Schizosaccharomyces pombe: one gene and its partners. Changing the gene in region 3 together with the main gene of any one other region gives a genetic interaction. Each region holds a gene or a part of one and is shown on either strand. Other genes may lie near its edges.

The links.
Region 1: mutations in upf3 (region 3) and nop10 together harm fitness less than expected from each alone (positive genetic interaction), as found in Schizosaccharomyces pombe (one large-scale study listed by BioGRID).
Region 2: mutations in upf3 (region 3) and SPOM_SPCC417.09C together harm fitness less than expected from each alone (positive genetic interaction), as found in Schizosaccharomyces pombe (one large-scale study listed by BioGRID).

Annotation. Positions count from the first base shown.
Region 1 is NC_003424.3:1,634,487-1,637,179, reverse strand, and holds nop10 (snoRNP complex protein), read left to right. Parts: upstream 1-1,675; coding exon 1,676-1,853; exon of another isoform or gene 1,854-1,905; coding exon 1,906-1,922; 3' UTR 1,923-2,069; downstream 2,070-2,693. Other genes in the region: SPOM_SPAP27G11.14C (uncharacterized protein), read left to right, coding at 1-1,118; SPOM_SPAP27G11.12 (uncharacterized protein), read right to left, coding at 2,438-2,693. UniProt on the Schizosaccharomyces pombe protein: Non-catalytic component of the H/ACA small nucleolar ribonucleoprotein (H/ACA snoRNP), which catalyzes pseudouridylation of rRNA and is required for ribosome biogenesis.
Region 2 is NC_003421.2:1,690,667-1,696,371, forward strand, and holds SPOM_SPCC417.09C (transcription factor), read right to left. Parts: upstream 3,919-5,705; 5' UTR 3,767-3,918; coding exon 3,420-3,766; intron 3,271-3,419; coding exon 2,850-3,270; exon of another isoform or gene 2,751-2,849; coding exon 2,161-2,750; intron 2,062-2,160; coding exon 1,116-2,061; 3' UTR 553-1,115; downstream 1-552. Other genes in the region: dipeptide transmembrane transporter Dal51, read left to right, coding at 5,060-5,705.
Region 3 is NC_003424.3:2,296,899-2,300,720, forward strand, and holds upf3 (protein upf3), read left to right. Parts: upstream 1-2,000; 5' UTR 2,001-2,080; coding exon 2,081-2,235; exon of another isoform or gene 2,236-2,294; coding exon 2,295-2,401; exon of another isoform or gene 2,402-2,451; coding exon 2,452-3,026; 3' UTR 3,027-3,170; downstream 3,171-3,822. Other genes in the region: heat shock protein Ssa1, read right to left, coding at 1-855; protein Mac1, read right to left, coding at 3,624-3,822. UniProt on the Schizosaccharomyces pombe protein: Involved in nonsense-mediated decay of mRNAs containing premature stop codons.

The DNA of each region.
Region 1 (2,693 bases), 660 kb from region 3:
AGAAAATTGTTCCAGTGGACGTTTGGGATGCCATGATTGACTCTTTATACGAAACAATAAATGTCGAGGAGACAAAAAAAGAAACTTACAAGTTTACTCGAAGCATAAAAACTGTGATTCCTAATAAATTAATATCTAACGAGTCAATTTCAATATTATCTATTCCTGAATCAGAAAAGACTATATACCAAAATTTTGATTTATATGTTTCAAAGTTTAACGTCGCCAGGAAAGAGTTATCCGAAAAAGAACTTTTCAATAATTCTTTTTCTTCTTCATTTAATACGTTGCTCGCTAGCTTGTTGGTTAAGCCAACCTTATGTCTGATTTCTTATTTAATGATTGCAAAAAAAATGGTTGTATTACAGGAGGCAAACCGCTTATTTCTTAAATCATTTGCCCATCCATTCCATTTGGAACGATACCATCTACATGCTGTAGCTGCAATGGGTGGTCTGTATCAAATTATGTCTTCTACTCATCTGAAAAATTTGTTTTTCTGTTCCAGGAAAGGAATCGCTCTGACAAAATTACATAGTCAGCAATACAATGAATCAACGTTGTTTCAATACTTGTCAGAATTTGTTCATCAGCGACAAAAGTCGCTTACACCGAAACAGAGAATCGCTATACAAGAACTTATTTTAAAATTTATGCAAAGAAATTTTGAAAATAGCCTTTACCACCAATCATTCAGTTCGCACTGGTTTATATCTCGACTATTGATCAACCCGATTCGAATGCTCTGTTGGCATATTACAGATGTGGGGAAAACGCTGGATCTCGGAGAAGCAGAGAAGTTACTAAAATATAATCACAAACAATGTCCGTACATAATTTACCCATCAAGCTTAAAGGCAGTGCAAAAGTTAGGTGGATTACAGTGTATCATTAGGAATGATAATTTGAGCCATATATTCAATTGTTCAAGGAAATATATCAGAGTACAAAGATATTCTGACGATGATTTATCAGAATCCAGTCTTCTACCGCGGTTGGTTAATTTACTTTTGTTTTTTGAAAATTCAATGGGGGAGGTTGCATGGAACAAACTTAGTCAAACGTTAATGGATATGTTTGAAAAGGAGACAAAGAGCAATTCTTTGAGTGATTATTAAAGCAAAGACATCAATTAATTATCTATCTTAATTAGATGCGCAATAAAAAAAAAAAAATAATATTTCCCTAAAGAAAGACAATCAAAAACGAACTGCTTAAAATAGAGGTTTAACTCCCTTGTTTAATAACCCATAAGTTAAGTGTACTAAGGTGCAATTACTAAATGTTCCAAGCAAACGTATGTTAAAGATGTAAACTAAATAGTTGGATCTGATTTGGTCAATAATTAATCGCATTTTCTTAATAGCTGAAAACTCGGATTTTAAAAGAAATTATTTTATTCTAATTTATTATAATGACAATAGCTGTTTTAATTTTACGAAGATTGCTATATCCTTAACCCCATATTGCTTATTCTGCTTACAGTATTGTTTTTAAATTTTAGTGAATAATAAAAGAAGAGAGTCGCTAAATAATTTAATATTTGATTATGTCTGTGTTATAATGCTTTAGCGTAATTTAGCAACAAAAACAGTCACCTGAAGTTGAGGTACTTTTGACATTTACACCTTTCCAGCACCATAGGAAAATTGTAATATCCGTTTTTTTTTTCACAATGCATTTGATGTATTATTTAAATGATGAGGGAAAGCGTGTTTATACTTTAAAAAAGGTATCTCCAGATGGAAGAGTCACAAAATCTTCGCATCCTGCTCGTTTCTCTCCTGACGATAAATATTCTCGACAACGTTATACTCTGAAAAAACGGTTTCATGTACTACTTACTCAATTGCGTAAGTATTTCTATTAAATTAATTGGTATAATGATAGTGTTCTAACGATTAGCTGCAAAACCTTACTGAGCAAATAAGAAAACGTCGAAAAATTTTCGCCTTTAGAAGGGAGCTACATAAGTATGGTTTTGGTTAAATAATCAATAGTTTTGATTTTTCTTTGGTTATGTGAGTAGTGTGCTCAATTGAAAAAAAAATATATTTCAACTTGAGTTGATTTTCCGATGTTTATTGCGAAGCATTATTTGTTTGGCATTTGCATTTATTATCTATTAAACTACAAAGAATAAATCCCTGGTGTATACATAAAATCTTTTAGTAAATGCTAAACAGTTACTGAGAATGTAAAATAACGATAAAAGTAGTAACATACTAGTGGTAATTCTGAATGAAAAACGAAACAACATTTTTTTAACCAATTTGTGAAAAGAAATAATAAAAAAATAAAACAGATGTAAAAAGCCAAGTATCTATTCAAACAGACTCTTTGAACATACAAAACTTAGGATAGTTCAAATTTCTCCATTTCAATTCTTAAAACGGAGATATGCCGCTCAAGCATAATCCTCAAGGAGATTTCAAGTCTAAAATGAGTCAAATATTTTGACATCCGTACCTTCAAAGATGCCTGGCCCTTCTCTTTTATGACTGTCTAAATCGCATGAGACTTGCCAGGCGAATAGACGAGCAAAATTTGCCAATTGTTGTCTCCATTCCTTTGTTCTATATTTCGGAATGTATGGTTGATTAGTTGCTGGGTATTTTTGAGTTTTTATCATAGCCATGATTTCTGAAGCTGGATGACCGGCTTTCTTCATATCACTGATTTTGAGAGATAGG
Region 2 (5,705 bases), on a different chromosome or scaffold from region 3:
CTCTGAGGAAGCATGATTCCATGACCGAAATATTTGAGACTAAATTGACAAAACTTGACAGTCGAATACTTAGTCATCAAGAGAAGCCTTTTCTTTGGTAGAAAAGTTGAAGAGAAATATACAAAAGCGTTATAATAATTGTTAAATTTTGAGTCAATCAATTAGTTAAATCGTCCAACTAGAAACTCTTTAAGGGAATATTGGCTGAAATAAATTTAAAGAACCTTTATCCATTCCCCTAATGAACGCTATAAAAATCATTTATTACATTATCGAACGTCTACGGCCATACCTAGGTGAAAACACCAGTTCCCGTCCGATCACTGCAGTTAAGCGTCTGAGGGCCTCGTTAGTACTATGGTTGGAGACAACATGGGAATCCGGGGTGCTGTAGGCTCCTTTTTTTTAATCAGTTAGTTGAATTCATTTCTAGTTATTATTTTTCATTCTTGATTGCAGACGCTATCCAGTATTTCCATAGTTATCGTTTACACAAGGAAACTTATATGAGACTGTGAAAGTCAAAAGGACTATACGTTAAAATGATTGTCAATTCAGCTTGTTTATGATACTTAAAATATTGAATTGCTAATATCCATAAAATGAAATAACGAAAATTTCTATCATACTCAGCGAATCGCAACTGTATATGTGTATGTACAGTTTTCTGTTCAATAATTCAACACTCGTCAATTGAAGCCTTTAATTCCTTTAAGAGGGTAATTAGAAACCAAGCTAAAACAATTGCTTCTAATTGAGAACCATTAAAACGGGTTTAATCTAGATAAGACAAAAGGAAAGATACAATAAAGTTAGAAGTAAAATTGTGTTAACAGTTATGCACGTTATGTATTCATTAAAAAATGCAACTGCCTATTTTTTTTATCTTTTGTTTTTTTTTTTTTGGAAAAGGATTTGGTCAAATCAGCATGATTTGATCATATAAAAAAAGGATGCAATGTGACCATGGGAAAAAGGGTTAACTTTCAGTTTCATTTGCTTTAATAGTAAATATGTTCAGTAAGGTAGACCAACTAGGAGAAAAGAATAAGGGTAAATTAAAATATCGACCTTTTTAAAATTCAGGTTTGAGTAGTTTCGAAAGAAAGCCATCATTACATGTCTCCATCGTCACTAGGGAAAATGAAGTTATCAGCGGGGAGTAAAAAGCCAAAACCCTTCGCATCATTGAAAAGTGCCTCTAGTGAGGCATTGATATTTTCATCATTCCAAAGATTTTGTAGGTTGATTTGATTATGATAATCAGCATCTCTAGGGAAGAAAGGCACCTGCGTCGAATAAGCTGGTTCGGTAGCATTAAGCCTTGATTGATATACCTCGCTTTGTTCAGCAAATGCCCGCAAGTTAGTTATGACATCCGTACTTCCTTTTAAAAGTGGAAATCTGTCGGTAACAAAATTCAAAATGTCAATAGCCGTATTCAGTTGTTCGATCGTTTGTTCAGACGGGTTGATTAGAAGATGCACCAGAATGATAAAAGAGGCGGCATGACATGAATGGTAATCCATAAATGAATAGACAGATAGAAATTTGTGCATTCTTAGTAGTACAAGGAGGTCGACAATGTGCAAAGCGGATGAATAGCAGTATGAAATTAACTTATCAGTAAGAAGCCTAGCTCCCTCATCCGTCTTACTATTCATCGTTCTTTCACGAAGCCGGTGTAGTAAGAACGGTCGGCCCATGGCAATTCGAACAATATGATAAGCTAGATGCAAATGAACGATACCTCTGTAAGACCTGCTATCTGGGCCAATGTTTTGTATTTCTAGATCAGGAGACAGTTGTTGGCGCCATGCCTCAATTTCGTTTACAATCTCTTTAATGGTAGCTGCTTTTAAGTTCGCCTTTCCATGTAGCGAGGAATACCACATGTCATAGACTTTATTAGTTAGAAGGGAAATTTTAATAGCTAAGGTGAAGGTCCGGAAGCTGGCAATGAAGTTTTGCGAATCTAAACTTTCACGGTATTCTGGAAAATGAATATCAATTTCGGAACGCACAAGACTCTCGGGCCTGCCCAGAGAAATACCTATTTTTCTAAAAGTTAAACGTTAGCATAAAATAATGAGGAGGAATAATAAAAAATTCTCTTCTTCTTCCCAGACATGAATCTTGGGAAGTTTTCAACAGCCTTACCTTTCCATGCAATATACACTCCAGAAAAGCCGTTTACGAAGTTCAGCAACATCTCCGGAAAATTGAGCATTCGCAGACTTTTTGTGCATACCATTGGCAACAGCAGCTCTCATAGCTATACCAAAGTACATGTATACAACTTCGTGTGCCAATGTTGGAGACAAATACATACCGGCTAGGAAGAAAGACTGTACTGTTTCCAACGACGATTCACTGATGACTTTGGGAAAAAGAAGTTTGGCGTTTTGGTAAAACTGAGAGCCAGGATAAGTCCAACGATCGTGATTTTCATCAGAAAGGAACTCTGGATGGCGAATGTAGGAGAATAGACTGCCCATGGCCATGCTCAGAAGAAGCATACACACAAAACCACCATCTTTTGATTGAAAGGAAGTTGGATCATCGAAAAGATGATGGACTTTTGCAGCAAACAGCTTGGTATTATAATAAAAATGGTTGTTGTCACTAGAAAATTGCCAAAATGTCATAAGTAAATAAAAAGTGATATCCTTTGGGGGTAATGCATGGATTAAAGAGGCGACAGTATTATCGGCGGGATCTAAAATATCTTCAAATGTTTTATTTCCTTTCTATTGAGAAAAACGGGTTAGTAAAGAACAGTAAAATCGATGATGCCCCACAACATAGCAAGGGTATGAAATGAAGTAGATGAATCCATCAATACATACGTTAGTGAGTTTATGCTGCACCTGAAATTCCCTGCCCTGGCAAATGATCTCGTGCACGCGAGCGACGAAGCTTTCGTTAGAGCCGGCATCTTCGTAATATGTCTGTGTCTCATTCAAAGTCACTTGTTGATAGCTTCCAAGTTCGATGTCGGTAAGTACTTTATCAGGATAGGTTTGAAGGCTTTCACTAAGCTCCGCAATCTTTGCTTCCAAGCTGGGCAAATCCAAGCTCATACTTGGCATGAGTTTAGAAAGGATGGTCTCCATATGACTGAGTCTCTGAAGATTGAGAGAAATTTCGTCTTTATTCATAAGCAATCTAGGAGGAGTTTCTATTACGCATTCTAATCCTTTTTTAAGACATCTGCCACAGGGAAAGTTACCGACGCATTTGATTTTATGCTTTTTGCATTCCACACAACTAATATTAGCATTTGAATGAATAGACAAAAAAAAAGTAGAAAAAATAAAACCAAAAAAAAATTGTAAAGTAAGGAAATAAAGAAACAACTACATAATTCAATAGATCAACTAAATAATACGAAAACAATAAATATAGTAATAACAAACAAATCAAGCAACTTTTGGTTGGAATGGCGGCTGATCGAACGCGTACAAACTAAACGTCTTTCAACTCGACCAAAACAACCAGATGCATATTTATTTACATACGCAATAGCTTTTCGAATCCTTTTTGAAGGTGGAATTCGCTCGCCTCTTCTTCTTTTCGGTTTTGAGCCTCCAGCGCTCTTCTTCCCAGTTTCTGCTGTGCTCGCGTTCGCGTTCGCGCTGCTGCTGCCAACAACAACATTACCACCCCTTTCTTCTTCCTCTAGTTGATCCTCCAACTCCATAGCTTCGCTTCTACTCATGCCACTACGACTCCTATCCTCATGGGGCTGCATCCTAGCATGCATGCAGTGAGAATGCAGCGGAACTCAAGCATTTACTATTCTAAGCTATTTATCCAAACAGAAAACCCTCGATTTTTGTGTATGGAATTCACTCCAGCAACTCCAGCTCCAGTTCTCCTCGCTCTCGGAGATCTCGGGGCCCATCCGTTAACAGTGGTTTGCACGTTTGCGTACTCGCCCATTATCTTGGAAATGGCGGCATGCCTAGCAATCCTATCCTGATAGCCCCACGGCTTCCACCGCATTTCCACAATCACTGTGCAATTTTTAGAGAAATATCACTAGCCTTTCTAAATCCGAAATAATGACCTTGATGGATGACACTATCATTTCTTCTTGGTATACCCAGTGTCTTAGTGTATTATATTTCCGGTGGCTATAGCCGACTTAGACATCTATTGCTATCTTGGTGGAATCATATCTAAGCATGGCGAGCGATCAGTACTGTTTTACACTAGTATATGTGGTAAGTGGTGATAAGCTGCGCTATGAGTGCTTGGACGAAAAATTTAAAAAATGAGTTGGGAGCTCGATGTTAGCGTTGGGATGAGGAAAAATCAACGTATGAATGATATGCGTCTTGATTTCCCCATTTCTCATCAAGAAATTCCTGCAAAGTTAGAAATGCAAGACCCAATGTTGGCTCGACTGCTTAGGAAGCGTTTCATTCCATCATTTATTTATTTTATCAAGTATTTACGGTTTTTACGCCCCTGATATCCGATCTTGGATGTTTGTTTAAACGATGAAACTTGACGAATAGATAGGAGACTGACGCATCAACTTTGCCAATTTACCTAACATTATCAAGTTCTCCTATATCTCCGGGCTCAGAAGATCTTTGGAGGAACAATGGGGTAGCACGATATCGGGTATTTAGTGCTAAAACCAGGTAGAGTTGGTAGGTATTGCAATGTTTAATGATAGGTGCAACAGTAGAATTTTTGGTATGTAGGAAAATGTGCGATGCAGTGAACATACTCGAGATTACAAACCGGGTACACCAACCGGAGGGTGGATGCCAGATAACCAAGTCAAGAGCTTGTCTGCCTGGTTTAAAAGGAAGGGATCACCTTGCAATGCTACAAGCCAATTTCATTAGTATATCGATCCTCAATAAGAAAAACAACCCGACTACACTCATTATAAGTGTTGGCGAAAATAGCTTTTACTAAATTTCATTCTCTTTTCCCTCCTCTAATTTTAATTCTTTTTTCTTTTTTCCCTTTCCTTTCTCTACTACTTTTAGACATACTACCATAATCCCGCTTAGATATTTAAGCGCCTAGCGAGAAAATGTCAAGCATCAGTATAGACGAAAAGCTGAAAGATCCCGAGAGTGTCCAAAATAAGGAAATTCTCGATGTCGACGTTGGCGATCTCTCGCCAAAAGGCGTGGATGCTGCTTTCAATTACGCCCTTGATGTCGACTACGATGAGATCGATCCAGAAACGGAGCGTAGATTGGTACGCAAAATCGATTGCACAATCTTCCCCGTCATGTGTCTAGTATACTGCATCCAATTTTTGGACAAAACTTCAAATTCCTATGCCGTTATCATGGGTCTCAAAGAAGACTTGAAGATGGAAGGTCAAATGTATAGTTGGTCAGGTACTGCTTTCTACTTGGGTTACCTTGTCTTCGAATTCCCTGCATCTCTTCTTCTTCAGCGCTTTCCTTTATCCAAGACCTTGTGTGTTTTCTTAGTCATTTGGGGTTTCTTGCTTTGCATGACCTCAGTTGCCAACTATCCTGGCTTTATCGCTCTTCGTGTGCTTCTCGGTATGATGGAATCTGCCGCCAGTCCTGGTTTCATTCTTCTCACTGCTCAATGGTACAAGCGCAGTGAACAACAACTTCGTACTTCCGTATGGGTCGCTTTTAATGGTTTGGGTCAGATCCTTGGTAGCTGCATGGCTTATGGTTTGGCCAAGAGGACCA
Region 3 (3,822 bases):
CAAAGAATCAATTTCAATGCTGGCTTGAGCAGAAGAAGAAAGAGTACGCTTGGCACGCTCGCAAGCAGTACGTAGTCGACGAACAGCACGAGCGTTGCCAGTGATGTCCTTCTTGTTCTTACGCTTGAATTCTTGGGCAAAGTGGTTCACTAAGCGAGAGTCAAAATCTTCACCACCCAAGTGGGTATCACCAGCGGTGGCTTTAACTTCGAAAATACCCTCTTCAATAGTAAGAAGGGAGACATCAAAAGTACCACCACCAAGGTCGAAAATAAGGACATTGGTTTCATGCTGGTTGCTTCTGTCTAAACCATAAGCAATGGCGGCAGCTGTGGGCTCGTTAATGATACGAAGGACGTTTAGTCCAGCAATCAAACCGGCATCCTTCGTGGCCTGACGTTGGGAGTCATTGAAATAAGCGGGAACAGTAACAACGGCATCGGTGACTTTGCCACCCAAAAAGGCTTCTGCGCTTTCACGCATCTTCAATAAAACCATAGAGGAGATTTCCTCTGGTGTAAAGGTCTTGGTCTCACCCTTGAACTCTACCTGAATCAAAGGCTTACCATCCTTCTCGATGACCTTAAAAGGCCAATGTTTCATATCAGATTGGACTTCGGGATCGTTAAATCTGCGGCCAATCAATCGTTTGGCATCGAAAATAGTGTTGTGAGGATTCATAGCAACTTGATTTTTTGCAGCATCACCGATCAATCGTTCTGTGTCAGTGAATGCAACATAGGAGGGAGTCGTGCGATTTCCCTGGTCATTGGCAATAATTTCCACTCGATTATTCGAGAAATGACCGACGCACGAGTAAGTAGTACCCAAATCAATACCGATAGACTTGCTCATATTTGAAATGTATTAATAGTTCGTAAAGAAAATTCGTATCAATGAAAAACGGGGGAATGAAATTAAATTCGTAAACAAAATAAACGTGAATTAATAAGTATTATAACACAGGTACGATAGATTCGCACAAATGCGCTTTAGAAAATGCTTTTTTTAATTTAAGACGAAATAAACAATCGAAACGACAATTGCTGTTTGAAGAATTGTTGATATCCCTTTCGCCGTCCCCCAACCTCTATTTATGTACCTTTGTCCATTCTCGAACCTTCACCAACCCTAACCCTCGAGATGCTTCGAGAAACGGGGAGAACGAATTCTGACGAAGTCAAGGAATTACGTTACGATACTCAAAAAAAATCGAAACATTTCGAAGTTGCCGAAACATTCGCTTCCAAACCATCACGATCCAGCGAAAACGCTTGAGAATTTGCTGGACGTGTCCTTTTATTAATCCGTACTACCTTGTTAACTATCAATGGGTAAAACCAAGTTTTGATCGTCTCAAACTCGCTAACACCTTTTTTCCTCCACATTATTCGAATGTGGAGTAGAAAACGTCATCACTTGTCGAGCGATGGCTTCCCGCTTACATTAGAGTAAATTCTGTATGCAATTGCCGAATACAGTTACTTTCATTGTGATGACTTAATTAGAGCATACAGATGTTTTTCAAATTTGTCTTTCGATTGCACTAATTGATGGTGAAAAAACCGTTTTCAGAGTATGAGACGATTCTTGCAGCTTCTGCATCATTTGCAAATAAAGTTATAGTGGAATAAACGAGTATAAACGCACGATTACTCGAGCAGACTGAAATATAACGGTATAGCAAAAAAATGCGGTATATGAAATAATGCACAGTTGCGAAAATTTAGGTTACTGAAGCACTCAATAGTGCAATTACCTGTCCCAATAATCAATTCCTTAATTGTATAGTAACGATGAACAAATTGGTCTCGCATTTTGGATAAGAAAACTGGTAGAACATCGTAACGTCATTTAGAAAAAGGCACTACTTCATCTCTTTAAGTTATTTAAACGAGGCTAAATGATTGCAACCTTATCAGTAAATTGCAGATTGCTGTATTGGTCTGGTAAACGAAGGAAAGGTTGTTTAAAATAAGTAGCGCAAAAGTACCCTCCCTACAAAAAGCTTTGGTTATCATCAATCACCAATTTTCTATAATAGGGGAACTACCTTAAGCATTTCATTGCATGTATGTAGATGGCTCCTGATATCTCAAAAAAACGATTACCATGCAAAGTCCTCGTTTTTAATTTACCACCAACTTTGCCTGAACAAGTGTTTCTCCAATCCATCAACTCATTTTTACCACACGTGGAATGGCACCGATTCTCCAAAGGGAAAGCAACTGTTGGGTATTTATTTATTTCTTTAACCTTTCTTGCAAATAGTTACTAATATCGTGCCTTTGTAGTACTCGATCTGAATTGCTATCCTTTGCGTATTTGAAGTTCCAATCCGCCACGGCTGTTCAGGAATTTTTTCGCGTATACCAAGGACATACCTTCATAGATAAGAAGAGTAAGTTGTTACCATTCAAATTTTTCTTTTTTAACTCAAACATGCATTAGACAACACTTATAGGGCAATTGTCACAATTGCTCCATATCAAAAGATTCCTCCTTCTAAAGTAAAGGCAGATAGTTTAGAAGGCTCACTTGAACAAGATCCGAAGTTTCAAGAATTCAAGGTTCAGCGGGAGAGCTATTCGCAAACTGCGTCCAATGACGATGTTATTGAAAAATTACAAACCTCTACTCCATTACTACAATATCTTGCTGAGAAAAAAAATGCCGTTGTAGAAAAAGGAAAATCAAAACCATCTAAGAAATCTGTGAAGGCTAAGAAAAAGCTACGCTTGGCTGAAAAGCCGGCATCTAACAATTCAAAAGCTGGTAAAAGCTCACAAGAATCAAAAAAGTCTTCAAAGGCACCTGCTGAATCTGCAGCTGCTGTAATCAAAGAAGATAAAGTTTCTGATCGCAAAAAATCTAAAAAGAAGCCAAAAAAAACCCCCGTTTCTAATAGCACTGCTTCTCAAGCTTCCGAAAATGCCTCTGATAAAAAAACAAAAGAGAAGAAATCGTCTGGCAAACAAAAGATCGCTTCTAAAAAGAAAGATCAGCTAACAACTGATAATGTTTGAAAAAGTATTTATCCTTCCTTAGTGTGTAAATTAGAAATTCCTCCAGTCCTCATTCTTTATGTTTGCCTTATTGTCAACGATCACGATCAACTTAGCATCTTTAATTATACTTTTTAATCAATTGGTTGTTTTCCAAACTCATAAGATACACTGATGATAGATACATTTTTGCATTACTGTATTCTTTGGCCCGTAAATATAAATGCAACAAAAAATCTTTTAAAACACATACTCTACAAACCATAAAAAAGTACCTGTTTGCGATAGCACTACACAATTCCTACAACTATTTTTAATGTAATACCAATATATCGTCATTGTTCTCATGCTTATTCTGAAAGAATATTAATGAGATGGAAAGATAAGTAAAATGAATAATTGAAACTGTGCATGCAAATTTATAAAAGGAACCAGTCCTTTAATTAATAGGTTCGCCAAAGAGATAGTAAAATTGTAATAAAAGTAAAATGAATGAAATGAAAGAAGATGAGTAAAGAATCAATCTAAGGGAATAAATCGACAGTTTACCGAAACTATCAATTCTCAAATTATACATAAGCTAGCAGAATGAAGACAAAATGTCCAATTGAATAATCATTAACGGATCATCCGATTTCCACCAGGTCCCCGTCTATTATTACGGTTACCACGAACCGGAAGCTCGAAATCAGCGTTGCCTGAAAGCTGATCTAACGTATTTGAAACAGGGGGAACATTAGATAAATTTTGAGGGTCTCTCATCATACTGCGAGGACCATAACCCATGCCGGCATGGGCGGTATTCAGGCTGCCATGT